2 linked regions of the Lytechinus pictus genome follow. The main gene of each other region encodes a partner of the protein of the gene in region 2 in a complex. Links are inferred from orthologs where the notes say so. Each region holds a gene or a part of one and is shown on either strand. Other genes may lie near its edges. The genes, in order: caspase-3-like and apoptotic protease-activating factor 1-like.

What was found.
Region 1: the proteins of apoptotic protease-activating factor 1-like (region 2) and caspase-3-like are in contact, whole or in part, in a crystal structure (PDB 4RHW), measured with the Homo sapiens proteins. The link is inferred for Lytechinus pictus from reciprocal best matches to the Homo sapiens genes APAF1 and CASP9. Residues at the interface, in NP_863651.1 of Homo sapiens: Thr22, Ser23, Tyr24, Met26, Asp27, Ile30, Ser31, Ile37, Glu40, Glu41, Arg44; in NP_001220.2 of Homo sapiens: Asp23, Trp26, Asp27, Leu30, Arg36, Pro37, His38, Glu41, Gln44, Arg45.

The regions. Positions count from the first base shown.
Region 1 is NC_087258.1:6,429,961-6,447,390, forward strand, and holds the start of caspase-3-like, read right to left. Parts: upstream 7,571-17,430; 5' UTR 7,477-7,570; intron 1-7,476. UniProt on the Homo sapiens protein: Involved in the activation cascade of caspases responsible for apoptosis execution. Binding of caspase-9 to Apaf-1 leads to activation of the protease which then cleaves and activates effector caspases caspase-3 (CASP3) or caspase-7 (CASP7).
Region 2 is NC_087253.1:17,655,806-17,672,758, forward strand, and holds the start of apoptotic protease-activating factor 1-like, read right to left. Parts: upstream 8,807-16,953; 5' UTR 8,719-8,806; intron 2,145-8,718; 5' UTR 2,137-2,144; coding exon 1,975-2,136; intron 1-1,974. UniProt on the Homo sapiens protein: Oligomeric Apaf-1 mediates the cytochrome c-dependent autocatalytic activation of pro-caspase-9 (Apaf-3), leading to the activation of caspase-3 and apoptosis. This activation requires ATP. Isoform 6 is less effective in inducing apoptosis.

The sequences.
Region 1 (17,430 bases), on a different chromosome or scaffold from region 2:
TCAAAATTGGATGTGAAATAAGAAAGTTATCACATTTTAAATTTTCACTTATTTTTCACAAGACATTAATATGCACAATCCAGTGACATGCAAATGAGACAGTTATGATGTCCTTCACTCACTATTTATTTTGGTTTTTTGTTTGAATTATATAATATTTCATTTTTTACAGATTTGTCAATAAGGACCACATTGACAGAATCATATAGCACAGCTAATTCCACAAGTTCAGGGAGGAATCAATTGTTGTTTCACTTGACAGTGAGAAAATTAGAATATTTCCTTTTTCATATAATAAGATACAAAATAAATAGTGAGTGGATGACGTCATCAGTCTCCTTATTTGCAATCCGACCAGGACTTGCGTATAACTGTTTTGTGAAATTAAGCAAAACTTTAACATATCATAACTTTCTTATTTTACAACCGATTTTGATGAATTTTCACTGTTATGCCTGTTGGATTTTTCTCTTTTTATTTATATCAACTTTTTGTTGGGATGGACTTGTCCTTCAGTAATAACACGTCTAAACATTTTACTTTACTAGTAGTGATTGCTTTGACTTTGTTAATGCTGTAAATTGGCATGTGATCAGAGAAAACAGAACAAAATATTACTGAACAGAAATTGTATTGAACACAATCAGTAAATATATTATCAATAAGGGTTGCTCTAGATGAGGTTACGCAAGTTGTATAGCTACACAACGGACTCATTTATATCATCTAGTATTTCATCCATTGGAAAAAATTACAAGTATTTTACAAATATTTTAGGAACAAATTTATTAGGTCAATTAGAATGTTAATGTCCTACATCGAAGAGGTCATCTACGGTGCGGAGTGATTTGTATACATTGGACACTTTGCATTTAATAGTCAGGTTGCTAGTCCGAATCTTAGCAAAGAGGGCTCCGTGAAACAATTAGCGGACAAGTAGCCCACTACAGTAACTCTGATTTAGTCAAGAAGTTAGACTTATGGTGTTGAGAAACAGGTCCCAGGATAATTAGATCTATCCCTGTCACCTATCACTCACGTCTCAAGGAAAAAGAATGCCAATGTTGGACTTCATTAGACTCCATCACCCATATCATGTCCAACAAAATCAAATAAATTACAAGCATTTCAACCACAGAAAAGTACAGGCATAACAGATAAAGTAGACAGCCACGTCAGCAACGGATTGTGGGATACTGCTTTATTGAGGGAGAGCAAAAGTGGAAAGCCTATATCAATTATATTAAAACTAGCACATCAATGATGTGGATCTCATCCGGCATCTCGCAACAAAATTTAACACAATTTTAATTTCAGCCCAGTTGACACTGTAGTGAATTATATTGGTGACATAAATTGAGGATATAGAATTGAAATTGATGAAGAAATGACATAGAATCATTTTTTGTGATCTATGAATAAATTTCATATAAATTAAGCATAAATAACTTTCTAGACAAAATTTCTTAAATCTGTGTAGAACCTTGGTGAACCTCATGAAGCTCTCAGATGGAACAAAAATAATCAAAATCAATCAACAAATAAATAATTTTTGTGAGTTTTGAAAATATATAAATAAATTAGCATATTTAATGAATTTCAAAATTCTGTGTTGAAATTTTGTATCACCATCTCGAGCTATCATATAAAGCAAACAAAATTGAAATTGATCAACAAATGAGGAAGAACATTTTTTTGTGATTTATGAATAAATTTTGCATAAATTAGCATTATTTTCCAGACAAAATTTCAAAATTTTCTGGACAAGTTTGGTGAACCTCATGCAGCTCTACCAGATGGAAGAAAAAAAATCAAAATCTGTCAACAAATGAAGAAGAGGCATTTTCTGTGATTTATGAATAAATTTCGCATAAATTAGCATAAATAATTTTCTACTTAAAATTTCAAAATTCAAAAATATGAATAAATTAATTTCGCATAAATTAGCATAAGAATTGTTCTAGTCAAAATTTCAAAATTCTGTGGAGACGTTTGGTGAACCTCATGAAGCTATACCAGATGGAAGAAAAAAAATCAAAATCGGTCAACAAATAAAGAAGAAGCATTTTATGTGAATTTTTTAAAATATGCATACCGGGTAAATTAATTTCGCATAAATAAGCATTAAAATTGTTCTGGTCAAAATTTCAACATTCTGTGTAAAAGTTTGGTGAACCTCATGAAGCTCTACCAGATGGAAGCAACAAATTCAAAATCGGTCAACAAATAAAGAAGAAGCATTTTTTTGTGAATTTTGAAAAATGCGCATAAATTAGCAATAATTTCAAAATTCTGTGTAGAAGTTTTGAATCCCCACCTAGTGCTATCATATAAACAGAATTGAAATTGGGAAGAAGTAGCATTTTGAAATTGTGGACGGACGACAGACGACGGACGCCACGCCACGGCATAAGCTCATTTGGCCCTTCGGGCCGGACGAGCTAAAAATTAGAAAAGGCCATGGCGTTGCCGCTGCAACAGGAGGATATGCGTCTTGTAGCTTGGCAAAAAACAAAGTACAAGATGGCAACGTAAACATCGTCAATTTTTTTCGGTCTTCTCAAAATATTTTTCTCGGTTTTTTATGAATTGTTGTTTAAAAATGAAATCAACATCGTATTAATGTCGGAAATGAAGTTGTATCCCATCATTTAGGGCTAGATCTTTTAGAAGGAAAGTAGAAATCTCGGGGGTGATAATTTCAGCTTTTTTCACGGTACACGCACATGAATGGGACACAATTCTTGGCTCCGTGGAGAGTAAGTTACTAAGTACACATTAGTGAAAGGAGCTTCCTGGCTAGTTGGGGGGGGGGGGTTGTATTGTTAACCCCCTAATGGCAGCTGCACAATCGCGAGCCGTCTGTGTACAAGAAATGAACAAAAAATGTTAATATTAAAGGAGAATGAAACCCTTGAAACCAGCTGAATCCATATCAAAAAGAAAAATCAAAGAAACATATTGTTGAAAGTTTGAGGAATATTGAATGAATAATAAGAAAGTTATGAGCATTTGAATATTGAGATCACTAATGCCATGTAAATCCTCCCATTGGCAATGCGACCAAGATCTGTGATGTCACACACGTACAACTCCCTCATTACTTTAGTACTTATTTCACTTATATTCTCACTTTTATAGAGTCTATCACAAGGTGAGGTGTTCTCTTTATGAGAGGACAAGTACAGAGGTTTCACAACATTATATCATTGATGAATCGTTTGTCATATGATTAGAATGAGCAAAAAGAGATGTTTTGGGGTATATTTTCAGTGTCCAAAAGGGGAGAGTTGTTCATCTGTGACATCATAGATCTTGGTCGCATTGCCAATGGGAGGATCTTCATAGCATTAGTGATCTCGACATTCAAATGCTCATAACTCTTCTATTGCTAGTCCTATTTTACTCAAACTTTTGTTGATCTTATTCTTTGATTTTTCTGCTTTCACAAAAGCTAACTTGCTCCAAGAGTTTAATTCTCCTTTAATATTTTAATAAATAAAAAACTCCTTGAAACCAAGCCTTGAAATAAGCGGGCGCTGAGCACAAATTTGTGCTCATAAAGCCATCAATTTATTTATTTATTGATATATTCATATTCCACAATCATCAAAGTACATTTATAATAAATCATTTTAACACTGAAAAAAATGCATAACACACAGGATTGAAACGTAGCAATGAAATGAAAAAAGTGGAGGGGCCTACTAAAAAGCAAAGCTTGTAAAATGTAGACCCCCTATCAAAATTTTATACAAGGGTAATATGATATAAGTAGAGTAAAATAATCAGCAAAATTCTATAAAATTATATATAAACACTGTAACACAAATGTATTTACACTATATACAAAATTAAATATTGACTTTAAAACAATCAATACTACCGTGGGTAAGTATGAGGTTCACAAAATATTGGATTGAATCAATAAGAATTCAGAATAATTTTTTTGATGAGTAATTTAAATCGGTTTAGATTAGCTGCCTCTTTTATTACTCTGTCCAGAGAATTCCAGAGTTTTGGTCCTGTGAAAAATACAGTTTTGCTAGAAAATACTGTTCTACTTTTGGGTAAGTGATAGTCATTTGAATGTCTCATATTATATGAATGTAAAGTATTGTTTCTCATAAATTTCTTTTGTAGGACATTAGGTACACTATTTCTATCTAGCTTATACATGAATTGGAATAGTTGCAAGCGGTACAGGTCATTGACTTTAAGGATACGTTTATGACGAAACAATTCATCTGTATGAGCTCTAAAGGACATATTGCATATTATTCTCAGTACTTTTTTCTGAAGTAGCAAGACTTTATTGAGTCTCGTTTGAGAGGCATTACCCCATGCCAGAATTCCATAATTAAGATATGGTAGAATTAATGCACAATACAACATGGATAGCGCCTGTGCTGGAAGAGCGTTTTTAAGCTTATTGATGACTCCAATATTTCTTGCCACAGTTTTGCAAATATTGTTGATATGAGCATTCCACATAAGCTTGTGATCAATAGTAAGACCTAAGAATTTTGTTGTTTGCACTTCTTTGATTTCAGTATTATCTAAAAGTATTTGATGCGGTAGATGTTTCAATGAATGACTAAAAAGCATATAATTAGTTTTTTGCAGATTCAATGACAGTTTGTTGGCTTTAATCCAGTTTGTTACTTTTTTAAATTCTGCATTCATAGTGCTCACAAGTACATGTGGATCATGATGTGTAAAGAAAATATTGGAATCATCAGCAAAGAGAATCAATGAGAGAACATGAGATGAATTTTTCATATCATTAACATAAAGTACAAATAGCAAAGGGCCAAGAATACTGGCCTTGTTGGAGATTCTGATTCATTTACTGTAACAAACTGAATTCTATCAGTAAGATAACTCCTAAACCATTGTAAAGCTGTCCCTCTGATACCGTAATTTGATAGCTTACATAATAGTATTTCATGATCTATTGTATCAAACGCTTTTGAGAAGTCAAGGAATAACCCTACGCCCATAAATTGCGCCCATAAAGCCCCAAAATCATCAAAATTTTGACGACCGGGCGCAAATAATTTCCAGGTAATTGCGCCCGCCGTGAGTGAGCAGTGAAGCCATATCATCCATGTAATTTAAATATCTGAAAAGCCAAAATCAAGTAACTTTCAATTTACAATAAGCAGTTTCAAATTTCCAAGTGCGTCTTTTTTTCTGTACCATGAAAAGTGAGCTACGTCCGTCTTTTTTTTTCTGTAATACATGTGCGCGCGTGCTTCCGGTAGCGGTTTTTCCATACTTCACCATGTGCAATTTCTAAAGCACACATTTCCAGTTGGGATATCACAATTCTGCGATATAGTAATTCGAATTGCACAGGAGATAAATCCCTATTCACAGCACATACGATATGCGAGTCTTTTATCCTCAGTCGCCGACTTTGCTTGTCAAAACAGAGCCTTAATAATCCAAAATCACTTAGCTTATAGTTGTGAATTATAGCTTTTTAATTTCTTTCTTGGAGAGGGGTAAATATCAGACAATAAATCATCAAACAAGGCTCCATCTAAAAAAAAATAGGACGCCGTGCACTTGAGTGTGGTGTTAGCTATCCAGTTTGAGCTCATGTTCTCTGCCAGAGCTCTGGGTGAGAATTTTATCAGTAATGGCCCAAGTGATGGTGATTTTCCATTTCAGATAGAGTTTAGATTTCATGTTAATTTTTGAAAACTGTCAAAAAACTTTATGATTTCTTCATTGTGATGAATATTTAAGTTATTAGTGAATACATTTTCACCGAATTTAGACTCTCCAAAAATGAAAGGCATTTTCTGTGGAGATCTGCGTTTTCAAATAACTTGTGAAAAACTTAAGGTACATGAACCTACAATACATACATAGCCTGTGGCTATGTGCTGGAATTTGAATAGACTGAGTTAGATATTGATTTCATTTCTTTAACATAATTTATATGCAATCCAAGTGCACCTCACAGTCACAATCACACACAAACACTCACCCACACCCGTGATTCTAACCATGAAAAAAACCTTAACAATTATTAATTTTTTCTAAATTTACTATTATTTGATCTGAATTCTCTCTTTCTCCATCTCTCTCTCTTTTTTATATTTTTATTTATTCATTTATTTAGATTTTTTTTTTGGGGGGGGAGGGTTCATTGTTCGCGGTTTATCAAAGATGAAAAATAAATAAGCCCATGTGTGTGTGGTTGTAAAGGGGATGTGGAGTGAGGGTGTCAAAACACACTTTAACATTTATTTAAAATCTGATTTCTTAAATGTTTGAATAACCCCAATTCTTAGCATGCTATTCATGTACTAATTAAAAAATTGCAGGAGCTGCGCTAGACAGCTGGCAGCCGTCTGTTTCGAGGAGTTTTTTAACTTTTTTTTTATTTTAATTTCTCCTCGTACACAGACGGCTCGCTAGCGTGCAACCACCATTAGGGGACTTGCAATGCAAAATCCCCCCGTCGGGGACCTTCAATTTTTGTCTTTAATGAATAAAAATTTTGAAAATTAAGGCGACCAAAATGCAAATTAATATTCCCTCTTGGCATTAATTGCCAAAAAACGGAGAAAAATCAAGTTAAAAGGAACAAAAACAGTGACTTACCTCGGCTGTCGCGCAAATTCACTTCCCCGTTTTATCCGATCTTAAGTACATAAACATATTGCCATTGAGTCCCCTGTACAGATCGCGCTAGAACTTCGGTCTCTGTATTTGGTGAGTGAAGCCAACGGAGTTCAGCTGAACAACCAACATAACAGAGACCGAAGCTTTTGGTCTAGAGCTGCGCTTACTATAAACAAATTTGCGGTGTGGTTCACCGTTATATATATATTTTTTTAATTGCCCCCGGTTCCTGTAAAAAGCCCGTGAGCCGGGGGCAATTTTTTTTGAAAAATTGCCCCTGGTCTGCAGCTGCTTTATTTCAAGGCTTGCTTGAAACAGACGGCTGTCTTATCTTTTTGCCAACAATCATCACTCCTCACAATTATCTGCAAATGATCCATAGACTCTAGTCCTATAGGTTCATAGGGTTTAGTATCAATCATGCTGCACTGAATTCTAACAAGTATCATATCAATAGCAAGAATATGAACAGCCACCGCCCCAACACTGTCCAAACTATAAAAGAGTAATTTCATTTCACGGCGCGTGCGATGCTTATACACCCATGTCCCTACGAGGATACCATAATTCCGTGATACGATAATATGAATTGCACAAGTGCTAAAAAACGGGCCTTGCACATACGTTGGGCCCGGTACGAATATACTCACCTCACAGTGAAACTATATTTAGTGAGTCAACTCCAGTCGTCAGACAGTCAGACTCAGAGCGACTCCTCTCCTTTTCGTTTCGACAAATTGAAACAAATAGGTTACCGTTAATAATGAAAGTACAATAATGACACTTGTTTCTAAACAACAAATAAGAAGAACGACATAATACCGAATTACTTACAAATTTGGAGACCTTTTCTTTCAAGATAATTGTAATGTCGGCTCAGCTCAGATATATATATGTGTGAGAAAAAGATGCCGCGAAACGGTACGTCATCGCTCGGGATTTCCCCGGCCGCTGGCTGCGCGTTGCGTTGGATAAGATTTTCTTAGAATGATAAAGATTTCACAATTATCCTCGCAACTACTAGTATCTGAATGAGGCGAGATAAATAACTTAACTTGTCAAAAACAAAACAATACGAAATAAGTAAAATAACATTTAGATTAACCTAATTTATAAAAAGATTTTTTTATAGCCCGAGGCCTACATGAAAATCTAACTTTTACAAATGTTAACATACTCGACAGACAATGACATCATACTGTATTTCCCCTTATCCTTTCCTTCAATATATTCCTTTCCTTTGTCCACCGCACTTCTTAATGTTGTACCTCATTCTTTCTCCGTGGGTTGAGCGCCCCCCCCCCCCGACCCCTTCCCACTGTCGTTCATTTGCTTATTGATTCACTTTGGACCATTCCGAGAAAAAAAAAATCATGTTTTTTTATTCTCACTTACTGCAATGATACGTAGGCTATACGTACTATCATGTGAACATAAAATTGGGTATAAAAGAAATCATCATCATCATCCGTTAAAGTACAGTCCACCAGGTTCAGGTAGTGTATCATCGTACTGTCTACCTGTCCTCATTTTTTCTGTAAATTTTTTTTTCAAACTTTTGATTATTATTGTGGACCTACATGTAACCCGTTTTGCAAGCAAACTTAAATGAATCCAATCTCTTCTGAATAAAAAAGTGATTTTTCTTTGCCACTTTAATTCACATTTTAATTAATTTCGAATTTTCTTTGGTATCATCAGAGCGACTAAAAATCTATAGGTTTTGAGAAAGAAAACAATGAAATTTTCGAAAAATGGACCTAACCCATTTTGACGATTGAGCTCTTCAGAAGAGTTTGGTTGCAAAAGTGGTTGTAGGTCCACTCCAAGAAAATCATTTTTTATTATTATTCTCCCATATTGCAATATTCTTATGCGACACTAAATTTTCATGATACCCTACCATGAAACATAAAATTGGGTATAAAAGAAATCTACCTGTCTTCATATTGTTTTAAATATTCTTTTCCAAAACATTTCTTTGTGAAACTAGCCCTTTTGAAACAGGGACCTATCCACGGAGGATTAGGGATTGTTACTGGGCCGGTGCTTAGCATTGTCACAGTACCCCCAGTAACAAATCCTCCATGGCCAGGTCCATGTTTTGAAACCAAACTGAAATGGGCCTAACCCCTTTTGAAAAAAAAAAAATATTTTTCTTTGCCATTTTTTGTTTTTGATGGGAATTTCAACTTTTCTTTGGTATCATCTTATAGAGGTACTTAAAATCTATACATTGAGACAAACAAATCAAATTTGATGAAAAGTGGACCTAACCCCTATTGCAACTGAGCTCTTCATAATACACTTCCTGCGCTGCTATGTTTCTTAGCTGGTATCTTTATTGTATAATTTTTTTTCAACATACACTCAATTGTGTATGATTCTTATTTGATTTAAAAAAATATTTATTAATTTCGTTCGTATCGATATTACAGCTGATAGATCATCAGGTATTCTTGTTTGCTTATTTATTTATATGTATTTTATTATTTATAGGGCCTATGATTAAAATTGATAATGACATGAACCAATGAATCTTAAGTCTTTCTTCTTTCTTTCGTTTGCTCCTTCATCTTCCGGAGCGGTCTTACATGCACACTAAGGCCCATATTATGAAGTCGGGTTTAAGTTAAACTCAGGTTTTAAGTTGTGGTTTAAGTATGGGAAGCCAAAAGTATCAAATTTGTTATTAAGTTGTATGCTTCTTATGTTTACTGTGCTCTTTCCAGATTCATCGATGGTGAAGCCAATAATCTTTTTATACTTCCTAGACAATTATGAATGATTTGAGAGCCAAATGAGCTGAAGTATGATATCTCTACTATTAGTGATTTATGTAACAATTGGCTCGCCATACTTAAACCACAACTTTAAACCTGTGTTTAAGTTAAACCCGACTTCAGAATACGGGCCTAAGAGGTTCAAATTTGAATCCTATAGGGGTAATTGGTACTTTAGCAGCAACCCAGTGAGTGTAATTGTGCTTATTTGTGCACCAAAGATGAGTTGAACCATGCATGTATTAAATATTCAAATTTGCATTTGTTTTTAATGTTAAGCATTACGCACTTTAAAAGGTGAAAAGTTGCACCTTTTATGGTGCAAACTAGCATTCTGGGTGCAAATAATAACAGAAAGGTGTATTTTGGCACCTTTTTCCACTTAAGTTTGGGTGCAATATTACACCCCAAAAGGTTTGTACAAGTGTTTAGTTTAGGGTTCAAAATGTCTATCGTGTGTATGCACAAAACCCCTAGTATGCGAAATACAGTGAATTTAATATTGATTGAAGGAGTTTAAAGGTTAATTTCGATGTATAGACCACCGGGGGGGGTCCATTGACAAGTGGATACCATGCGCGACCACGGGGTCTCGAAAAGCACCCTAAACACGTATTTTCCATGTTCTGAAAATGCACCCCTTAACAAGTATATTGGCGTCTGAAACCCTACCCTTAACAAGCATTGGAAACAAAACTATACTCTTGGCAAGTATTCCCTGAAATGAACCCCTAAACAAGTATACAGCGATATTTTATTGTTGTGTCACGGGTCCGGCGGTCGTCGGTTTTATCTAATTTACACACCATTTGGTTTAGTATGGCCCCACCTTCCTCACCTCGCGCAAATCGGGACTCTAAACACGTAGTGTTGGGGCAAAAAGGACATCCTTTATACAACATTTTAATTTTGTTTGATCATCCCCGCAAATGTGACCCTAAACACGTAGCTTTCCTAGCGAAATAGATACCCTTTTTTCATTATTTTTGTGTTTTTGACACCCTAATCACGTTACGTACGTAACGTGCCCTATCTTGAAAAAAAGACATCCTTTTTACGTGTTTTCTTGGTCGCGCATGGTATCCACTCGTCAATGTAAGTGGCCCCCCGGGATAGACCATAAGCATGGGCGGAAATCCCAGGGGGGACAGGGGGGACGTGTCCCCCCTACTCAAAATAGTAGGGGGGACACAATATCAAATGTCCCCCCTACTATTTTTGGTCTTTTATGATGGTAAGAAATACATCATTCTAAATCGAAATAAAACATGTATTTTGGGACGAGATGACCTTACTTTTGGGATGATAACCTTTTTTTTGCTTGTCAAATTTTCCCGCCCCTTGTCCCCGTAGGCGGACCAGGGGGCCGAGGGGCCCACCCCCCCCCCCTCCCCTCTTGGCGGAGCAAAAAAAAAAGAAAAAAAGGGAAAGAAAGAAGGAATAAAGGAGGGAAAAGAGAGGAGAAAAAGAAGAGAAGGACGACGACGAGTGCATAAAATAAGATGAGAGGAAGACTTGGAAAATAAAAAGAATCTTTCGTGCCACTATATAAAATTTTCGCTCGCGCTGCGCGCTCGCATTGCCTGTTAGATGACTTACATATCTTGTTCGGTATGGAGCTCGAATGTCAAGTTTGGAAGTCAATATACAAAACATATTTCACCTCGGAAATCGAACTTTCATTATTTTGTGTGATTTACAAATTGATTTTTAAAAAGTGCTCTGTAAAATGTCAGTTTTATGGTCTGAATATTAACATTCGCTGCTTGCGCTGCACGCTCGCAAATTTTGATTTATCAGGTATCTATTATTTTCGTGTATATCCCTTTTCAGGTCTGATTGTTAAGACGTATCAGCTAGCGCGCTGCAAGTTCGCATTTTGATTGGCGAGTTATATATGTTTCAATATTGATTATACAACAAACTACTTAAAATCCCCTTTTCATAACAGTTTATCAAAAATTTTAGCCCGCGATTTGCGCTCGCATTAATGGTTAAAATATATTAATTGATGCATTCTATTCATAATCACAAAAGTGAAATGTCCAGTTTTTATGCCATAATATCATCAGATTTCGCGCCCTCATTAGGCATTGATAAATATGATATTAATTTAATAATCAAAATTGTCCCTTTTGTTTCATCTCGCTTAGCAAGAGGAATAGGAAGATAGCCATCATTTTCATATGATGACATGTCGTAAGGATGTCCCGGTCCAATGTCAAAACTCAGAGTAATAATAATGAAATTATCAGCTCTTTTTTAAGTGCAATCCATATCCACCTTACAATTTTTCTACAAAGTGCTTGAAATATAAAGCTGAAATTGACTCTTTTTTTCAGATCGGAATATCAAAGTTTCATGATTTTCATGATTAAAGATGCATTTAGAATGCCTAGATTCTAGGTCTAAATATGAAACACGCGCGCGCATGTTTATTCAGATACTCAACTTGTCCTCTATTTAAATCATTATCCAGTTTCAGATCACAAAATCAATTTTTTTTCTGCTCGCGCTTTGTGCTCGCATTATAATGTATAGGAAGACCCCATATTACTCATCCTTTTCATGAACAGAGTGGCCCATTTTTAGGTCTAAATCTCGATTTTGTTCTGCTCGCGCTTCGCGCTCGCATCAATTATTAAATTATATAGCTATTTTGTTCACGATTACAAAAACTGATTAAAATTTTCCATTCTTTCTTTAGAAAGTTCAAAATTTTTCAGCTCGCGCTTCGCACTCGCATTTTTTTATTGTTGAAATATGTAACGCCTTCATGGCTAAGTGCAAGCAGTCCTTAACAGTTACCTTTTCATCAGGTACCAGTTCAAAACGTATATAAAAATTTTCTGCTTGCGCTTTGCGCTAGCATTATTAATACTCATCATTTTCATGATTTACAAAACATGAATAGAGTGTCTCGTTCAGTAAATATTATAGGACTAAATCTCGAAATTTTCCGCTCGCGCTTCGCGCTCGCATCAATTGTTTACTTATATACTTATTCTGTTTGAGTTACAAAAAGTGCTTAAAATTTCCATTCTTTAGGTGAAAAAGTAAAAAAAAAATTTAGCTCGCGCTTCGCGCTCGCATTATTTGATAGTTAAATGCTACTTTAACAGGTATCTTTTCCATCAGTTCATTTGTGCTCGCGCTTTGCGTTCGTAGTAATTATTAAGTTGCCTACACATCTTTTTCAGGATAACAAACATTGCCCAGAATGTTCAAATTTTAGGAAAAAAACATAAAATTTCCAAAAAAATTGCTCGCATCATATAAATAAGGATTATGATATTATGTATCAATTTATAAGAATAAAGCTAAGAAGTGACTAATGAGGACTACCCCTTCAAAGAAAAAAAAATCATCTTGAGTCGAGCTGCCGATCGGGGAAATTATGGCTGAAAAAAATTTCCGCCGCCCCCCCCCCCTATATTGGCGAAGGCTTGATCCGCCCCTGTGTCCCCTCTACCTTTTGGGAGAGATTTCCGCCCCTGACCATAAGGCTGGCTTTAACTGTAAATTGCAAACCAATCACTTTAGTTTCGATTTACTGAGGCTGCCGTTGGACATTATTTTCGAGGAAGCGACAGATGGTATAGCGCCGATATTTCCATGGCCCTGGGAAGCGGGGGTACTGAAGCACCCCCCCCCAAAAAAAAAAAATGCCAAAGGGGTGCTGCGTGTATTATTCCATAGGCAGCACCCCCAGGTATTCTGGGAGATGTTTAAAATGGAAATAATGTAACCAAAATGACCTTCATTTTGTAGTAAACCTTTTTTTCCCCCTTTTTTTTGCTTTCAGATTTATATCAGCAACCCAGTCATTCGTTCTTATGCAGGGTCCTGAATGTTTGGCCCTCACTAGAAGGCCTGATTATAAAGAAAATATATTTTTTCACTTGAGTATTTTAAATTCCGCAACGTAGAGTAATAAGGAATAAGTGAAGGAAGAATATTATTCATCTATTATTGCATTCATATTATTATGTGTATGCATATGTTTTTTTTAAGAACAACTTTCCGTCGTTTGAACAAAAAAATAAATAAATAAACTAATAAAAAAAATCGTGCCCAGGGCATTAGTGCAAAATGAAACTTAAGTTTATATAGGCCTATATATATATATATTGATCGGGGGAGGGGAGGGGGGGGGGGGTCAAGCACCTTTTTGTGATCATATATTTAACAAAACAAACTGGTGAAAATCAACTATTTCTTTTTATATACACAACAAAAAAAGTAAGTCCCCCCTTGAACAAACATCAATAATTTCCGAACCAATGCGAGTTTTTGATATGTTTTTACATGAGCGTGTAGGTAATTTTATAAGCTACCCTCTGAGTAAATGTTATGGACGTATTTTACGTCATGCTTCAGTGAGCACCGTCGGAAGGCAAAAATGTCACTTTTCAAAAGTCACAAGCCAAAAATCACGACTTTGATTCCATTTTATTGGAACTGATTCTACATTCTCAACATGAAAAACAGTCAGAAGGCTTGTAAAAGGTACTTTCTAAAAGACGATACAATTTTTTTGGCTAAATTTCACGGTTGAATAAACACAAGTCCAAATTTGCTATAATTGGATTTTTTACACATTTTCATCAATAAAAATGATAGAATATGATGACAGTTATTTTTGGGAAGAGTATCTTCAACAATATTCATCGTTTCACGGTTCAATGAACATTTATTGAAAACAAAAAATACGATTTTCAAATATCATAGGCAAGTATTGTTTCATTTCGGTAACTGGAAATGATCTTTTCTCAACTTTTTCGTTATGTTCATGACCAATTAACATGCTTCAATGATTCAAAGGCGTTTAATTAAATATCCACGCTTGAATGAACATGTGGAATGTGATTAGCTCTTTTTTACGTTATTGGAAAAAATGCAATTTGTAACTATGGATATCTGTCACAAACCTCCTTGCATAGTTCATTTGATTTGATTTTTATGAAAATCCCGATGTTTAATGCATCAGCGAGCACACAATATTCGAAAATTATGCAAATGAGAAGAAAGTTCAAGACCTTGGCCCCACTCTGTGCCGTATCGAATTGTTATTTTGGTGTGCGCGCCTTTTGGATAGTGTTACTCTGAAGCCATGTGCGAAGTTTCATGAAATAACTGTTGGCAGAAGTAACAAAAACCGTCCATGAAACAAACCCCTTATTTCATATTTGTTAAGATTTTGACTTCATCTCTCATAGACTTGTGTACATTATGGGTGCATATGTTTAAGAATAAGTAACCCCTTATTCAATATGGTGAAACTTTTTTTCAAGGCTGTCTTTAGCAATGTCATTTGGCAGTAATGTTTATCAACCTATGGGCAGAATTCTGTGCAAAAATGAAATCGATTTGTTTATTTACGGATGAGTGAGCACGCATCAAAGTGGGAAAATGGGTATTTTCAATGTCACAGACTCATTTTAAAGGGTAATAAGGTGAATATTGGGGGCAAATTCGGTTTCAAATGTGACTTTAATTGCTGTTGTTTTTATCATCCATCATTTCTATCACCACACACTTTCCGAACTTTTAACATTTTCATGGTTGAGCGAGCACATTCGAAAACTTGGGAATGAATACTCTTTATACTGCATAAATGTATTCTTTTCCTAACAATTTATCATGATCAGTTTAATTTATGGACAAATCAGTGGTGGATCCAGAATTTAAAAATGGGGGAGGGGCCTATAATCGGGGGAGCCACCAACATTTTCAAATTCTAATATGACCTAACAAGTTGTAGACGATACTACCAAAAAAACTCTATGATGATACGTCACAATACAGGGGCCGCGGAATGGTTTTCAAAGTGTGGGGGAGGGGCTGAGCCAAAAGTCCCCCACTGACCATGCAAAAAATCACAATCGTATGGTCATTTTTACATTTTTGTACATGCTTTTGGAAAAAAAAGTGGGCCCCCCACCTCGCTTCCGCGGCCCCTGCGATATTGTGCTCACTCAACCATGAACATACGATATCAAAATCGTGTGTGGAGTGGCTAAATGATGGATAGTAAAACAGCATAACACCATAAAATTCACCTAAAAACAACTTTTGCCCAACTTTGTATTTGCACAATCTGAAAAACGACTCTTGTGACTTTCAAAAATGGTCATTTTTAATTCAATCTTTAATTACTCATGCATGACTCGACCGATCAATCTCATTTTTCCCCAGAAGTTGCTTAATAAGTGTAGAAAACCTCCTACGAAATATCATATCTCAAAATAACTCCGTTCAAAAGTTACAGCAATTTGATTTAGGGGGGACTTACTTTTTTTGTTGTGTATATATATTGACGTGAAAATGTGACATTTTATGCATTCGAGCGCGAAGTGCAAGTGGATTTTCATTTTATATATGATTTGAAATGATTACTTTTTGCAATTTCTCTCCCTCTCCCATTTCCCCATCCTTTTCTTTACCCTAGGCTATATCAATTTCCTTCACTTTTCTTTTCACTTTCTCCCCTTTCCCTTCATTTTCATCTATGAATATGTTATAATTTTTGCAAACATGTTCGGTTTGGTCCTTGGAAGTCGGACCTTTATTGTATCATGCACTGGCGGATCCAGGGGGGAGCACAACCGGCCCTTGCCCCCCCCCCCCGGCTTGAGAGGCACAATTAAAATTTGTAATGTAAAATTGCCGTTAAAACAAAAATGTGCCCCCCCCCCCCTATTGAAAGTGAAGACCCTTTTTCCCCCTTTTTTTTTTGCTTGTCAATTTTTTTGTGTGGACAAAATCCCCTTAGTGTTTGGTTAAAACCTTTTTTCTTTTTTCATTCGCTTGTCAATGTTTTCATCGCCGGGAAAATGTGCCCCCTCCGCTTTGAAAAACCATGGATCCGTCGTATCATGTATCTATGTTTTAAACCGAATAGATAAAATAAAATAAATTAATGAATAAAATGTTCATTCCCCCTCTATATTTCTTTCTTTTCCCTCCTATTTTCTATCCTTTTTCACTTTTATTTCCACATCCCTTAATTTCCTTTTCTTTTCTCTCTTACTCTTCCCGGCTCCTATCCTTATATAGGCTATTCTCTATCTCTTCTCCTTTCCAGTCCTCAACCGCGTAGCCAGGATTTCATTTTGGAGGGGGCGGTAAATGCGAAGCGTGCCAACACTTACAGAGCGCGCGAAGCGCGCTCCCTATAGGGGGTGGGTGCACTGGGTGCAGGGAGGGGGAGTTTCCCCCTCCCGCGCGAAGCTTTCGGTGTTTCACAAATTAAAATGAAAAGGAGCCGTCTCTCTTGTCTCTAGTACCTATATCAGCTCCAATTCAGTTAACTATATTGTGATTTTGAACCTTGTTTTCAAAAGTGATTGTGAACGCCCAAAAAAGGGATAAAATGGAGGAAATTAAAATAATAATTACCCCACGAGAAGCGCGGAAGCTAAAGCATTTTATTTAAAAAAAATTTGCAAAGAAAAGGGTGCTGCAAGAAGGGTATATGCCGAGAGGAAGATATTCTTCCCTGCGCAGAGCAATGAAACTCTGATATTTCAAAGGGCGGACGTTTCATCAAATGCAGATATCTCTAATACCCCATCGGCTCTAATTAAATTAATTATTGAACTTCATTACAAGGAAAATAGTGCGCAAAAAGTTGAAACTTCTGTGATTTATTGAAATTATATAAAAAAGGATGATGTACAATTTCTTAGACTTATCCTGAAGCGCGATTTTGAATGATAAAAAAACGTAAGTGGCATGAAGTTTAATAGAATTCGATAAAAAATATTGTACTTTTTTTTATTTAATACGACACGAATCTAAATATACCTTCCTCTTTTTATATTAGGAACCTGTTTGCCCCCAAATTATGGTTGTTTAGTAATTAGCTGAAAAGCAGGAGAAGTTGCCAAATGGAGGTGACGGCAGAAATTGATATAAAGATTTACCCGCCCTGAGCCGACCCGACCAGAAGTTGCGCGATCAATTTGGAAAAAAGAAATAACTTCATATACTTCGGCCTAAC
Region 2 (16,953 bases):
CACTTTTAGTCAATTGGAATAAAACGGATACATTCAAGCATTTTGTAACAATTTTGCCAACCAAATTGAAATTTCAACACTTAGTAAGCACAACCTTTACCCTTTTTGTGCCAGCTGGATGAGGACATACATGTAACTGAATCTGAACAATAGCTAATATCAGACATCTCCAGCATTTTTTCACTAAGTTTTTATTATTTAAAGTGGGTTTACATTTCATTTTTCATTTAATACTTGTTTCTCCACACTTTTCCAAGCTTGACAATGATTAACAAAATGAAAATCAAGCCTAAGCCATTTCATGTAAATCACAGCTCAGTGTAAAGCAAATATCGTCACGATGGCCTCGATGTGTGGGGGAGTGGGGTGGGGCACAATGCACTCTTCGAAGTGTTTTGGGCAAGGAAACAAGTTAAAAAGGTAAAAGATATCTTCAAATCAATTTTACTTGCTAAATTCCACGTGTTCTTCATGTTTAAGGTCTACTTTTATTCGCATAACTATTTCAAAGTTCTGCGCAAATAATTTTTCACTAACTTTTCAAAGTAAGTGGTGCTCACTCAAGCGGAAATATTTTTGAGTTATATCGTCATTCGCTTAAATGGATCTGTACCAATGTTAAAATGTGGAAAAATCTTCAGGATATTATTTATGTATAATTTTACAGGATTTTTCTAAGTGTAAACTTTTTTTGATATGCACTGTATAGCGCGTGTTTCTCTAGCACATCACCATTTTTGCAAATACAAATGTGTATAGACAATCGTCAGCTGCGACTCTGTTTAGAACCAGCCAGTTCGTTGTCATGAAATCGTGAAATCACACTTCGGGTACTCTATTGGCCTGCTTTAGGCAGCAAGTTACAAGAAGCCTACATGTAAGATTTGAGCTAAAATTTGTCCTAATCTAGACTCACTTGATTAAAGCACCAATTAGAGTCTTGGCTTGCCCAAGTGCAGCAAGATAAAAGTTATGCTAGACTTTTAATCAAGACCTACTTGCTGACCGAAATTAATGATTTTAGTTCTTACATGTAGTCTGCCTGATAGTGCGGCAAGTTAGAAGTTTTAAGCTCAACTTCATATTACAATTACCCATTCATTGACTAGAGTACCAATCAGAGTCTGTGCCTGCAGACTACCAGTATCCATATATTGACAGATGACACCTACATACTGTAAGAACATTCAGTAAACAAGAATCTCAGCTGCAGTTTCACATTATTTTTTTGTAATTTAATGTAATGCAATACGCTGTATGACATGTTCATGACATGCCTACATGTATGGGCAATTCTATTCACCAGGGGGGGGGGGGGGGGTGGGGACTCGAGGGGGGGAGGCACTCATGTACATGTATAATGGCATTATGGGAATGTGCTGCCCTAAAGCCCCCCCCCCCCCCTTTCACCCCTTGCCAGCAGTTCCCAAGCATATCATTTTCACAACTTTTTCATTGATTAACCACGTTTCCTAAGCCCCTCAATTCATCGTCGGTCAAAGACTCAATTCCCCCCCCCCCCCGGCCTGGTATTACACTATTGATCTTGCACCATGAATCTTCTCAGGACTCCTTATAGTTAGTTGCCCCCCCCCCTTCCCCTGGCCTATTCCGCGTAAAGCCCCCAGTGTATAATCTAGGCGGAGGCAGAAGCCATAAATCTTTGCTGCTTATTAACTACACCTGTGCGATTGATACGTTATAACTTGTGACTACAGAAACCCATAGCCCATACCCCCTTGTCTTGCTTTCGTCATTGTTTTCTTATTATCAAAGAATATTCATTGAAAGTTTTTTGTTTACTATTCTAATCCTAATAATAATTATAATAAAAATATTAATTACAATTTTTTTATATTAATAAATAATTATTTAATAGATCATATAAATAATTATTTAATTAGTATAATATCTTTATAATTATTATTATAATTATTACAATATGAAAATAACTTCTGAATAATGTTACCATACCTTTGACATGATAAGCTCCACATCATCGATCTCTAGGACCATTTCGGCTATGAGATGATCAGAAATAAACTCCACATCGAGATCATCGATGAGGGACTGGCGGTGACGCCGTAAGTTCAACCTCGCCAGCTCCATCATGGGTGCCATGTTTGCGTCCCCCATTACTGATTCTGAAAAATTTGTCAAATAAAATCATTAATCATATACAGTACATGTAGATAGATTCAGTAAAATTCAGAAAATTATGTGCAGATATAGATCTACATTTAATGTAATTAAGGTGGATCCAAACTTGGAATATAATGAATTGTGAGAAAGCAAAAATATTGGAAAAATATAATGGTCAACCTGTGAAAGAATTTGGACAATTCATAAGGGGGATATGGAACTTTTAAAAATATGGGATTACTATTTGAATCTGGCTACTTGATTATAGGTGCTTTCTCACAATTTAATATATTCCAAGAGGGGTAGAAGTGAAAAGTGATGAGGGACATTTTCCCATTTTAAATCATCATTGTGGTTTTCTCTTTCTTCTCCAGGACAGCATGTAACAGATAACAAAAGAGATACCGGTAAATGAATCATATTGTCCTCATGAAACAAAAATATTTGAATGAGTCAAATAGTCAGTTTTATAATTGCTTAAAAATTTGTTCGTTCAGCAATCATCAGAAAACCTCTCAATCCAAGTTGTGTTAATATGTTGAATAAACTACATAGCTGATTTAAACTACATCCGGAACTGGCATTATTTGGCTAAACCTTGTAAGCCAAAAGTAATACTATTTTCAATAATTTGGGTCGACGGAGAAAGGTCGTCTTTTTCACTGGGTAAGTTTGTTGGGACATAAAGTACATTATAAACCTCTCCTTAAGAATGTCGAATAATCCGTTCCTCTGATTGGTCAAAATTGAGGTCATGTAAACGACCATGCCTGCAAAACAACAAACTAAGGTGGTAACCAAGGGCAACGGGCATAGTTAACTAGATTTCTGCCCGTTGCCCCCTGACCAGCCCCTTAATGACGGGCATAGCAAAATTTGGCTGAGATCCCCATTTGATTGCATGCAAAATGTTGCTTTCTGCGGTGATTGCGGATACCATAAATATCCGTGCGATTTGATCAAAAGTTTTAGACAATTCGCGTATTTACGCGCTTATTGCGCATACGGATATGACACATCAATGGAACGATGCCGATCGTTGACTTTTGCTTTGCTAAAAAATATGGCATTATTGAAAAGAAGACTAACTTATTAAGGACATAACGGATGTATCAATCATCAAGTCTTGTTGCAGTTGTTCGTTCAAATGCATGCTCGCAAAAGGTGAGTCGGGTGAAAAGATAAGACGGCCACTGCACTTTCTATAGCCTAGGCCTATTACTCGTTAGGTAAGACAAACAACAACGTTCGTTAGGTCTAGATCTAATGACAGCGTTGTCGTTAGATCTAGGCCTAACGTTAGCTAGCTCAGAAGTTAAGAGTAGAGTCTAGACTCTAGATCTAGACCTAGGCCTAATGTTTTGTTAAATTCTTAGATCTGACATAGTCTAAAATAGAAATCTAACGTTAGATCTGTTATTGTTAGACTCTAAATGGAGATTTAACTAAAATTGTTAATGTTAGATCTATTCAGACCCTAATTTGGTTCCTAAAATATGTAACGTTAGGCCTAACGTTACCGGTACCGTATGGACTGCTTTGATATTCGACTTCGAGACCTAACGTCAGGGGCAGGGCTAACTTAGGGCCTAGGCCCTAACGTTAGCCTGGGGCCTAGGGCTTTTAGGCCTAACTTGTTTAAGATCTAGATATTTATAGATCTAGACCAGCCATTCTCAATTAATTTTGTTGAAGCGCCAAATTTCTTGTTGAGAATCTGGACTGCTCCACTATCCAACACGCGAAGAGCGAAATATTGTGGTATGGTGGGGATGCAGGACCACCTGAAGAGCAGAAAGCCTTTTAAATGGCCGAGAGGGGTTCTCAATCAACAGAAGATATAAAAATACCAACATACTACACAATTTATTTTAAAAAATGATAAGTGACTTGCTCAAATTAGCGTTAATTATTATGTTTCTGTATTAAATTTTGTTCTTGATGAGGGTCGTGTTTAAAAAGCAAACCGGGTATGTTGATCAGTGGTAGAGCGTCAGCCTCATGAACGGGAGGCCGTGGGTTCGATCCCCAACAGAGTCATACAAAATATATATATATATATATAGGAATGGAACCTTCTGCCTTCTTGCTTGGCGCTCAGCATTTAAATTAGAGAAGGGTAGTAATAACATACATGGAAATGCAGGGCCCGCTGCAGTTCCCTAACTGAAATGGCTACCCTGAGTAAATAAAACGTAATTATGATTATCATTGTTATTATTAAAAGCACTGTTCACAAATCTATGTTCACATATTATGTACATAGTCTTTGTACCAATCGTAAATGAATACATTAAATAGATCCTCCATAATATAGGGGTTATCGAATGCTAGATTACACAAAATCAGAGGAAATCAAATAGCATTTAGATTTTAAAAAGAGCTGAGTTTTTATTTTCCCTTTGTGATTAAAGGATCAAACCTCAATTCTAGATTAATAGTAGATCAACCTTTTATTTTCTAATGTTTTTTCTTTTTCTATACCGGCTCCCACGCGCCACTCCGGAAGGCTCGGTGCGCCACAAGTGGCGCGCGCGCCACCATTTGAGAATCCCTGATCTAGACTATATATGGACTGCTTTTATATTCGAGACACGGTTGTTTCTTTCGGCTCGCGGGTACCACATTGGCCAGACAATGCCCTTGGGCATAGTCGCGTTGCGGTCCCCTTGAGCCTCTAGAAACAACCATGCCTCTCAAAGCAGTCCATATATCTATACTGTACATGCTGTATGAGAATGCCAAAATTTTATTTATGTTCATTGTTAGACCCTACCTAATTGATTTGAAGTAGATCTATTCTAGGTATAATTCACTCTATGTTTTTTTTAACAAGGCTGAAGCCTTGAAGAAAGCAAATGTTATCAGATTCAGAGTCAGACATCATGCATCACTTGCTATTCAGTATTCCATGAATCTAGTTTTAGACTTTAAAGTTTTGAATTGAAAATTTGAAGCAAGAATCAGTTGAGTTGAGCAATTAAATGAAATGAAGTGACTAGGTGCTAGGTCTATTACTCTCCAGAAGCCTCCATGCGCGATAGAATGACACAAGAAAATAAAATGCTCCTTAGAATTTCGTTTGTGAGTCACGCATATTAGGCCAAGTAAAAAAAGAAAGTAGTTGATTTTCCTCGCGCGCATCTATCTTGGCCGCCGCATAAAATTTTTTTCCACTTACTATTTCAAAAAATTGGCAAAAAAAAAAAAAAAAAAAGTGATGTTTCTCGTCCGCGCCTGCTTCTCTCTTTGATTGCCGCATCAATTTTCTTGATATTTACTATTCTTATGGCCGCTGAAAAGCAAAAAAAATTCACAAGATTGGTGAGCGATTTGCTCTCATGTACTCTGGGATCTCTCTCGCAACTTCATTATCTCATAGAACAATTGCAAAGTCTGATATCGCCATAACTGCAAGAAAGAAAAAAATTCTGATTTGTTTTTTTATTGGTACTTTTGAAGATACAATCATATAAATTAACGAGAAAATAAAGTTTGCCATTTTGACAAGAGTTACGGCAAACTTTTGTACATACCATTATTATCCTTTTTCATATTAGGAATAGATACACAAGAATAATATTTCATATATATATGTATACATATTGGTAATAATATCATTATGTGAGAAGTGAGATTTTTTATTAATAGAGTCAATGGTGACAATAGTCAAATATGACTAATCGCCACTCAAACCAACATAAGAAAAAGAAGAAGTTTGCAAACTCGGAAAAGATCACAGATTTCTTCATTTTTAGTGCATTTTCGGGGACCCCGCTTCCTAAATCTGAACTAATCCGTCGCGTGCTTTGGAAATATGGCGCAGATAAATCAATTTTATTTTTAATGACGTAATTTGTATTTCAGCGGGGTTTTTTGGTGAGTGATAGCGCCTGTACTTCGATGTGTGTTACGGTGAATGAGCTGTGCTTGTGACTATGGTGGGTGAATGCATGTGTGCTGGGATGATGTGATGGACTGTGCTGGCGCGACATGTGAATTTGTGAAATGAATTGAATTTTCTGGCAAGTTTTCTTACGTCAGCAGGCAATGCATTGAATATTCAAAAAACAATTTCAAGTGGGTTATTCATTATCAAGATTGAAAATCATTAATGGGATTCCAGTCAGTGCCAATTCTGTTCAAATTTGATAAACTTCATTCTTCCTTGAGCTATTCAATTTGATGGACAATTGTAAAAATTAGTTAGTAAATGGATCTGTAAACACTAACAAATATTGAAATAATAAACATTATGTGAACAATTAATTCAATAATCATTTAACATTTGATATCAATAAAAAAAATGAATAAAAATTGAACATTATGTAAACGAATATACAAGCAGCTGGAAACTAAACTGAAGCGAAACCATGCCCAGAGCTGAAAGAGATTGGCTCTGGAAAACTAAACATGGCTCCATGGTAATAAAAGCGACCCCCCAAGCATTTTTTACCCTTACATAATGTAGAATGATTAAATCATTCACTTGACATGAACATTTTTTTTACAATAATAAAGTACCGGTATATATTGATACATTAATAGATTTTTATTCCATACATTTTCCATAGCTAGATTTCCAATTAATCGTATATGCATATATATAGATATATATATGTTTCTACTCATTTATCATTAATATTGAGCATGCATCGATCACATAAATCGAGCCTGACATGTCCTGACAATCATTTGATTAAAAAATAGCAAAAAAAATAGTAAATAGTAAGGACCTCGGAAAGAGTTCCATTTGCACCCCCCACCAAAAATAACAAAAGATTGTTGAGACTTCCGGTTCGTTCACTTCAGATTTTTCTATCATTTTTTTACTGTTGCTTACCTTAGTTGGGACTCGAACTCACCTCGTTTGATCTCCAGTCAAGACCTTTCCCGCTATGCTAGCGAGAAGCGCTGATACCGGAAAGGGTATTTTTACGATTATCAGCCGATAGTTCGACTAGTCTTGACTCGCAGACCCTTTACTGACTAAATAAACCGATGTCTATGGACAATTACACGCACAAGATCTCGCTCGAAATTTGACGGAATAAAGCCATATTTTGGTATGTATTTCCACTTCCCCATCATATATGTTCGATATTAGGGCTAGATATATTATTCTGAACCTTCTGCATGTTTTTATTTTCAATTTTAGTGGGGGGTGCACATGGAACTCTTACCAGGACCACTCTAGGCGACACCCCAATACTTACCCGTGCTAATAAACTGGGACTCCACTCACGCGCGTTTGGGCCTCCCTAGCTTAGAACTAAGCACTAATATCACCTTAAAAACTAAATCTACAAGGTATGTATAATCTATTTATAAATTTAATAATGTTTAATCGGTACTCACCGGTTCTTTTGTTGCATTTTCAGACCATTTCTCACAATTCTTCGTAAATATTTGCGGCAAATTTTGTCGCCATAGACAGCTTAGCGTCCATCTTTATTGATAAATGGAGCGCCCTTTACGATAGTTGTTAATGCCGCGGAGAAATCGTTAGGCATTTTGGCCTGTGTTCAAGGCGTTCTTTCTGTTTTATTTTTATATTGAAGATTGTGCATTTGTTGAATAGCGCCGTCTACGTCAGGTATGAGATCGAGTGTATAAATACACTCTTCCAAAATAATTATGATTCCGACCTGGCGCTGTTTAACTTCAATCTCTTTCACCTAAATTAGCGATGAATGCTAGCATTATAAAATATATATTATTAACGTCTGACGAAAAGAATAACCAACCGATCAGCTGACGAGAACGCGAATCACGTGATCTTCATATCAGCTTCGATCGCGAGTCAGAAGAGAGGAGCAGTTGCCCAGAAAATCAGGAAAAAGCCGTGAAAATGTAAGTTCCCCTTCATTTCTTTCAATTTTTTTTATTGCTAACAATGTATTCAATTAGTGAGATCGAAATGTAATGATTAGACAGTACGATAGCTTGTAGTTTTGATAAAATACAAAAATAATCATCTTCACAAAGATTTCTGACACAAAATACTACTGATGTCGCCTATGAGGTCCATACATGTAATGTTGGACCTCATTGGTACTAGGAGTGACCAGGACCTCCCTCATCATCATCATGTCATGTCAGACTCAGAGACAGAGTCAGACACATGATCAATGTAAAAAACGGGCCGAGAAAATGTCTCCTTGTTTTTCAAAAAAATAGTAAGATAGCAAATAGTAAGGACCTCCCTCATCACTGCTCTCAAAAAACCCGGACGATCTACTACTAATACTATCTTTTTTTACTTGGCCTTATCCATGTTATCAGACCAGGCAATCCATATGTCCGCGGCGGTGTGGGTGTGCCAGTCAGCAATCATTCTCTCCCTGCGGGCGGGTCAGGCGTCGAAGTTTGACGAGTTACGATAGCAGACGCGAACCCCGCAGACGCGACGCTTCAGTTGGGAAGCAGAAACTAGCCGTATGCTACGCAAAGCCAAAGCAAGGCAAATCATTGAAGGTCATGCTCAGAAATCTCATATTTTATTAAATTACACTTCAAATAATCAAACCTCTTACGAATTCTTAATATGAAAAGTTTTTAATCTGGCAATCTTACCTCTTAAGCAGTTAAGTGACGTCAAACTTAAGCTCTCCTCTTGCTTGTCAAATCTTGTTTTGTTTTGCTCGCTCGATCGCTAGACTATGGTGTCTTAAAAATGAGAAATTAGAGGAAACTTACGGTTCTTGCACTGGAATGGATAGAATATTTAGATATATACACAGGTGTTGTTAATTTCAGTGATTCATTAAGTGCACTTTTATCTTTACAGAATCGGAAAGACGATCCTATTATCACAGAAATTCTAACTATTAGTACAAGACTCAAATATAAAGGTATAGAGATATACCTGGAGTGGATCCCTGGTCACTGTGGAATAAAAGGAAATGAAATATAGCAGACTCCTGCGCAAAAAAAGCTTTATCAAACAAAATAGAAATTCATAATCAAATAACATTATCAGAAATTATGCAACTTATTTCAAAAAGTTGTAAGATAATTTGGCAAGAAAGATGGAATAAAACTAACTCAGCACTGAAAGAACTGCAACCATCAGTGCTATCCACATATAAATGTAATCTAGGGAGACAGGAAACTGTACTCCATCGTCTCCGTTTTGGAGTCGCTGGTCTTAACCAAGATCTACTAAGATTAGGGATCCATCAAACAGGGTTTTGTGATAGATGTCCTGAGGTAGAAACTGTCAGACATTATCTTTTACATTGTCCAAAATATACAATTGAACGATCAATGCTCCTTGCAGAATTGAATGAATCACAGCCTCGACAAATAATGGAGTATTTAAAAAAAGATGATCCAGGGATACAGAAAGCATTTTTACGTTTCGTTTCAAGAACGAAACGTTTTAGTAAGGAGTGATATGTGCTATTATTATATTGTATTGTTTATAAGAAATAGGAAAGGATATGCTCGTATATAAAGTTTTATGTGAAAAAAAAAAAAATATATATATATATATATATACATACATACATAATATGTATATATAATATGTTCTGCACTTTTAACTAACCGAGCCCACAAGTGTTTTCGCCTTGTTGTTGTTGTTGTTGTTATTGTAAAAAAAAAATATATATATATTAATGTTTAACCCATCTGTAAGCACAGGTACACTAGCGCCCCCTCGTCTATGCATGGGTGACCTAGGCATTTTTATGTCCGAAAAATCGGCACAATGTACCGTGCTGACCGGTATGATTGCATCTTAGAAAGGGCAGGGCAAGCCACTGAACTAGATACCTCTAGTTCAGTGGGGCAAGCGCAACTAGTTGGAACTGGACTGAAGATAGCGGTTTGTTTTTGGTGAAGATTTGTTTATATGCCATTTTGACAATAGTTAAGACAAACTTTTGTAGACCGGTATACTATATTCATCATTTTTATAATAGAAGGATGCACAATAAAAATATTTCATAAATGTATACATCATATTGGTAATAATATGAGAAGTGAGATTTTATAGATAAAGTCAATGGCGACAATAGTCAAATATGACTAATTGCCACTCAAACCAACATAAGAAGAAGAAGAAGGTAATTTCACAAATTCAAAGGGGATGTCTCATCAGTCTAACCTAGCCAGGAATAACCGTCGTTTCTGGGGATTTATTCAACAATTTCTGACATTTTACTATCATCCCCATTCATGTATTGGTGAGTGGAGCCAACGTAGTTCAGCGGAACAACCAGAATACAGAGACTGAAGCTTTTGGTCTAAGTCTATAACCAGAAAATCGTTCCAAGAAATTTCGAAATGATGGAAAAATTGACGCAAATTTGTGAGAAAAACAAAAAAATCACGAAATGGGTGGAAAACTCGGCCCGCGGTCCGAGACCCCGTCTCGGTCCCCCATCAAAATAACAAACAAGTCTATTCTAGCTGTTGTTATTATACATTGTCGTTTATTCTTCATTAAGTTTCATGATTATTTAACAATGATATATATTTCTATTATATTTTGCTTCATTAGAAATACCTCCAAAAATATCCACAGAATTGTTGCATGCATTGTGCACGCTGCCTAGTTTTTTTTTCTCAAGAGAACTGGTATACTTTTTATTAAAAATAATCCAGTTACAAGTTCAATCTAAAATCAATTTCGAAGTAATTCATCACACATAATTACATTCGAGAGTCAACCAAGGGGCCTAAAAAGAAATCTATCAACATAAATTATATTTGTTTTCTAGACAATTCCAATACCTGTGAAACGGAAGGGAAAATGGAGAGCAAAAAAACAAATAGGTGGGTCCTGTATATACCTCTACCGTCTTAATTACTCAGTTTAAGAAAAGTTGTTTTACCACCCCGTAACAAAATACCCGCTTTCTTTCTTTCTTTGGCTTTCTTTCTTTAATTCTTTCTTATGCTTATGTATATTGAATTAGGGTTAGGATCCCTAACTCTACAGACGAAATTCATCCACCCCCCCCCCCCCTCCTCCCCACGCGCAACATTTTTCCTGATATTAATCTGCCGCACAATTATTTTCTTTTAAGAACATCAGAATCCTATATAAGAGTCTTTGAACAAAAGTTAACTAAGGCGAACTTTTTATATTACGCATAAATTGGGGTTACAATAGGGTTTTATGTTAGGATTAGGTTAAGGGTAGGGTATAGTGCAAACCTCGGGTTTAAGTTGGTCATTCGATTAGTGCGTGGAATTTGGAGCGGAGCAATTGTCGCCAGAGCAAATGTCATGGAACCAATCTGGAGAGATTGAAGAGCGCCCTCATTTTCAACTACTACTACAATAAAAATCAGAAAAGTACCAGTGGGAAGAGGAAAATATTTGTCTCTTGGATACATTGCCGTGGCCGATTGGTCTACGGGCGCCTGCAAATATCAAAATGTCCGGGGTTTGATCCGGCCGCGATACCTATGCCCGTGAGCATGGCATTTGATCGACAATGCCCTTTTATCCTGTATTCAAATATTGTGCTTTATGCATTCTTGGTAACTAGGTGTGCACTTGTTTTTTTATTTTTTTATTCTCCCTTCTCATCTTTGCGTATATTGTTAAAGCCATTGGAAACCAAATTTCTGTGTATGCGTACATTGACCAACAAAAGAATTTTGAATCTTTTGAGATGAATGCAATAGAATTAACATCTTTTTAAATATAAAATATAAGATTTCTGTTAATTTGTTTTTGCGATGAACACCATTACGTACATAATATGGTCGCATACTGGCATCTAATTCGTTTTAATGAAGGCAATAAATGCATTAAAGTAATACGCATCATCTCTAATTTATAAGAAAATCTTTCCCATAAGGGCTGACAACATTTGTGACATCAAAAGCTATAGTCATGAAGCATGAATTTAGATTTTTTTTAATTCAAATTTCACAATGGTTCATGAATGAATGTCTCGAATTCATTACATATCTGATATCACCATTACTTTATCTACATAGGCCTAATGCACAGATGTAGTATTTACATCATGTAAACATATAGGATACACAACATAAATTTTTTTTAAAATTTGAACTCATGTCATCTTACCTCACGCAGCAACCGATTCACATTCGTACATGCGGTTTATGAAACATTTTTTTCTTTATTCAATTCAAATAAACATTTATTTTCTTCCTTTTCACACATTTCTACATTTCGTTAACATAAATTCATACAAAAATCAGTTTGCTATGAAGAGTATAAAACTGTACATGTTATGTTTATAGAAGGCGTAAGACCTTAAAAGCAAATGCTTATGGAGGGATACGCATGTATATTAGATAAATTTTGATCGAAGTGGACGATTCTATTTCTGTACGTGCAAAAAGACTGTATGTCATATCACATTGTAATACAACCCGGCCCAGGACATTTTCATAGAAAGGGGGAGGGGACACCTATAAACATTTTGTCGAACTGGCAACGCGGGAACCAGAACCAATATCCCTTTCATGTTCTTCTTTCTTCTCTCTTCCTCCAGCCCCTCGTATGTTCTCTTGCTGCAATTTCTTGTAAAATCATGGGGGGGGGGTCAGTTTCTCACTGAAGCGCCATCAAATCAATCCCCACTCACACATTATATAGGACCTATTTTCTGCTTTTTTCGAAACCAGTTTTGAATTTGAACTCATAACCTTACTTTACGTCCTCCCCAAATGAACATAATACAAATGCAATATGGTAGGCCTATCCGTACACTCAAGAAATCAGACATGGAATAAATTATCCATCTAAATTAAAGCATAGAGAAATCCGAAATCAAAGACAATTGTTTAACAAAACTGGTGAAATATAAGTTCATGTTGCATTATACACTGCAAAACATATTTGGGTAAAAATTTTAACCAGCACGAGGGTAATTATGTGTCCAACTAATCTGGGGCAGTATTTTACCCAATGCGGGAAGCAATCGAGTAAGGTTAAGAATGGGCACAATTTTCATCACACTGGATAAATGAAAATACCCCCCCAAAATGCTCAATGTTTATGGTTGGACACATAATTACCCTCATGGAGCATTTTACCCAATATGCTTTAGAGTGTAGAAACAAAGCTTGTTGAGTCTGCAGGATTTAGACTAGCCGTCAGATTAATGGCATGCAGATGGGGGGGGGGGGGGCATGGGGCCATAGACCCCCCCCAAAAAAAAAAAATCACGACTAAGAAAAAAAAGGGGGGGGGGGAAACAAAGTGAAAGTGAAAGCAAAAGGGTAAAAATTATATCATTTTATATATATTATGCCAATTTAAAAAATTAGTGCTTTGTTTTGAAAATATGAAAACAAAATCACTCGCTTGCTTCACTCGCTCGCAGCTATTTAGGATTTTCTCCCAAATATGCCATGTCTGACCCCTCAAGATTTTTGGCTCAGATTGCACCTTTACCTTTACAAGAATTGGATCATTGTAAAAGAAATCACTTTTCAAGAAAACTAGTTGATCATTTCGTTTGTTTTCCCCGTCTGCAAAGCGTATGTGTCAAACAGACATGTTTGCACCCAGTTTCGAAATACTTTGTAAAACACTACAGCGTCTGCATTACGCGGGGCAAGGGTTACGGCCAAGTATGGTTGCTTACTTTCTTTAACAAACAGATGATGAAAGAAAATAAAAAGAAATGTGGGGGAAAGGTAGCGATGGAAGAGAAGAAAGTTAGAGCTAGCATATAGGGCCTTTGGGAAACATTAGATGTAACTCAGGCCTACGTGCTTCAGGGTAGGGAGGAGCATTTCAGGATAATTTGATAAAAGGATGGGGTGGGGCAAGCAAGACAACATAAAGATGATGAATGATTATGGATATAGAGTTACAGACTGGCACAGATCTATCTTTATAGTTATATTCTTCGAATTTCTTACTTGTTTTCCATGTTCTCCTCATTATTCATTTTGATTTCACTACTGTCTAGAAAAAAATATTGGGGTGTTAGTCGCCCCCTGTGTACCCCTCCCTATACCGCCCCTGCCTACAGTACAGTCATTTTCTCACCGAAAAATTAAATGTTTACTCACCCCTTTTCAAAATCACCTTGGAGGTGCCCCCTTTTGAAATATTGACTTTCAAACATGATGCTTTGCTAGCTATAACTATAAATCGAAGTCCAGTGTTTGAGTATTATCGTTTTCATGGCTAACGCGAGAGTGAACTGAAATTGTCTTCTTCGTGGAGTTATTCAGAAGGTAATAATGCTTCATTTAATTTTATTCGATATAGATCCGTTCTTTGAACATTTTTTTATTCCTTTAAATTAATTTTATTAAATTTTGTTAGTACAGTTAGCAGGCTTACCACATGGAATACATTTTGTGTAATAACTGTAACATAAAAATAAAGTTCTCAAGATCTAAAGTGCGCTCCCAGGGCCAAGATGAATTGGGGAAAGTGGATTTTTGGAAGATTTATGTTTCGAACAATATGGATTTTAATATTCAAGTGAATAATTCTCCACAAGGAGAAAAAAAAATAACAAAGCACAGTTGAGCATCCCATGGTATATTCAGATGTGGTTGACAGTGGTTGACTGTGAACACAATTATAATATGTGATTATGTTCCTGAATGAGGAAAATACGTATCTTTTAACGTTCAACACATTAAACACTGTAAACACACTGTTTAATTGTTTAAGCATGTGATTTAACAACTGCTGTTTAAACTTTTTAAACAAATTGTTTAAAAAGTTTATACAACTTGTTGTGACAGGCTTAAACAACGTGCTATTTTTTTTTACTGTGAACATTCGTTATTAGTTAATAGACATACAGTGTTGCTAAAAAGTTAGTGAATCCCATCAGAAAATGAACATTATAATTATTGTTCAAGTTCCGGCAACGTTTAGATTGAAGTCGGATGATATGGTAAATTAATATATAACATTTAATGAAGTTTGTTTCTCTTGGCTCGCCGAACATCACAGTGTTGTTGTTTACAGTCAACACTCAGCTCATCATAATTATGAAGGAGTGCATTTTGTGGTGGGGTTCACTAACTTTGAGCACAACTGTATGGCCAAACCTTTAATACAGAAGTTAATATTTTTCCATACTTCTAATAAAGCACCGTAGTCTTTGATTGCTGACTGTCAGTTATTAAGTCAACTTTAGCAACAACGCATAACCCACACATACATCTAAGACGAATTGTTTTACAATGTCTAAAGTTCATGACAAATATCAGTATCATTAAAATGATTCTCTACATATCTATATCACTATGTTTTTATTATTTTTTTCTAAAGTAGAATGCAGAAGGGAAACGCTTCAGTCCCTTATTTACATTTCCTGAAATAGATCTAGTAAACATTTTTAACTAATATTATGCATTTTTGTAATCATTAATCTTTTCAATAATCTCCAGACATAGTTTAAGTAAGAACTTTTTATTTCAAAATTGTTTTATTGAACAAATAGCAATAAAGGAACAGTGTAAATTATGAGATAAATGCATTTTGTACATAATTTCGATTAAAAAAACTGGCCTTACAGCCCTTACTGGCTAAAGCAGGGCATGTGGACGCAAAACGCCAGTAACATAATATAATAGTATACGTATCCAAAGAGTTACCAAAATCAAACTATATTCATGAATGTTATGATTCATCCAGTAAACTTGAAATATATCAATCAGTAATTAATCTTTCACTGGTAATTTATGAAAATTGTAAAGTTGAGACTCATAATTCTCTGTGGTCGCGACATTTCACTGACCTCTGTTGGCTTCATCAGGTGAATGAACACCAGCACGTCTTTCCAATTGGATCGTCCAGATCAGTAGGCCTACTGTAACGCCACTTGCATTGGTTCCCGAAGGGCGCGCGGGAAGCGCGTTAGGGGTGAAACGTCACGACTACAGATAATTATGAGTTTCAACTTTACAATTTTCACATTTTTTCAATAAAAGATTAATAACTGATTGATATTTCAAAGTATATTCATAAGCAACTTAAAGTAAACATGAATCGACCTTAAAATCCTATAACAGCTCAACTGGTTTAAATTTTTCGTCTCAATTATATATAATCCCTTTCTCCTTCTCCATTCATCACAATTTAAATTGTTTCTATACATGTATACATGATATAAGTGCCATTTTCTAGGTGTCCTTACCTTTCATGCTCCTAAAAATAAATGTGTACCCTAGTATTCATCAGCTTCATTAGTGTTTTGTAATTTGATACCCTTTATTGTCAATTCGAGTTTAATTACATCTAATTCATCTAGAGTTAGTCTTCCTTTAATATTTTTTTCATAATTGATTTTGTTCATTATTTTTCTTGTAGAAATTCATTTCCCGAACATGATCCATAATGTCGAATATGTGAACAGACACTAACAACAAGTCTTGACTCCACTTGGGGTGTTATATTTTGTCATTTCGTCGCACGGCTGGCAGAAGGGCGCACACTCTAAATCTCATCTAACCTATGAAATATCAACTTATTTCAGACAAAGACTTAAATAAATGAATAAAGGGATAAAATGGAACATGCATAGTTAATTTAGTCTGAAATGAGTCGATATTTTATAGGTTAGATTTGATTTAGTGAGTGCGCCCTTCTGCCAGCCGCGCGCCGATTTGTGACTGTGGTCTCATTTTATTATTCTTAGAATAATCACCTTTTTTTAAAAAGAAGCAACATGGATTCGGGAACGGGAGATTCAGGTCCCCGCTATTTCGGCATCTGGGATTACGTCACCTTCGGCTTCATGCTTTTGATCTCGGCTGCCATTGGCCTGTATGCGGCGATGACCGGAGGTCGTCAACGAACGAACGAGGAGTTTCTCCTCGGCAATCGTCAGATGAACAT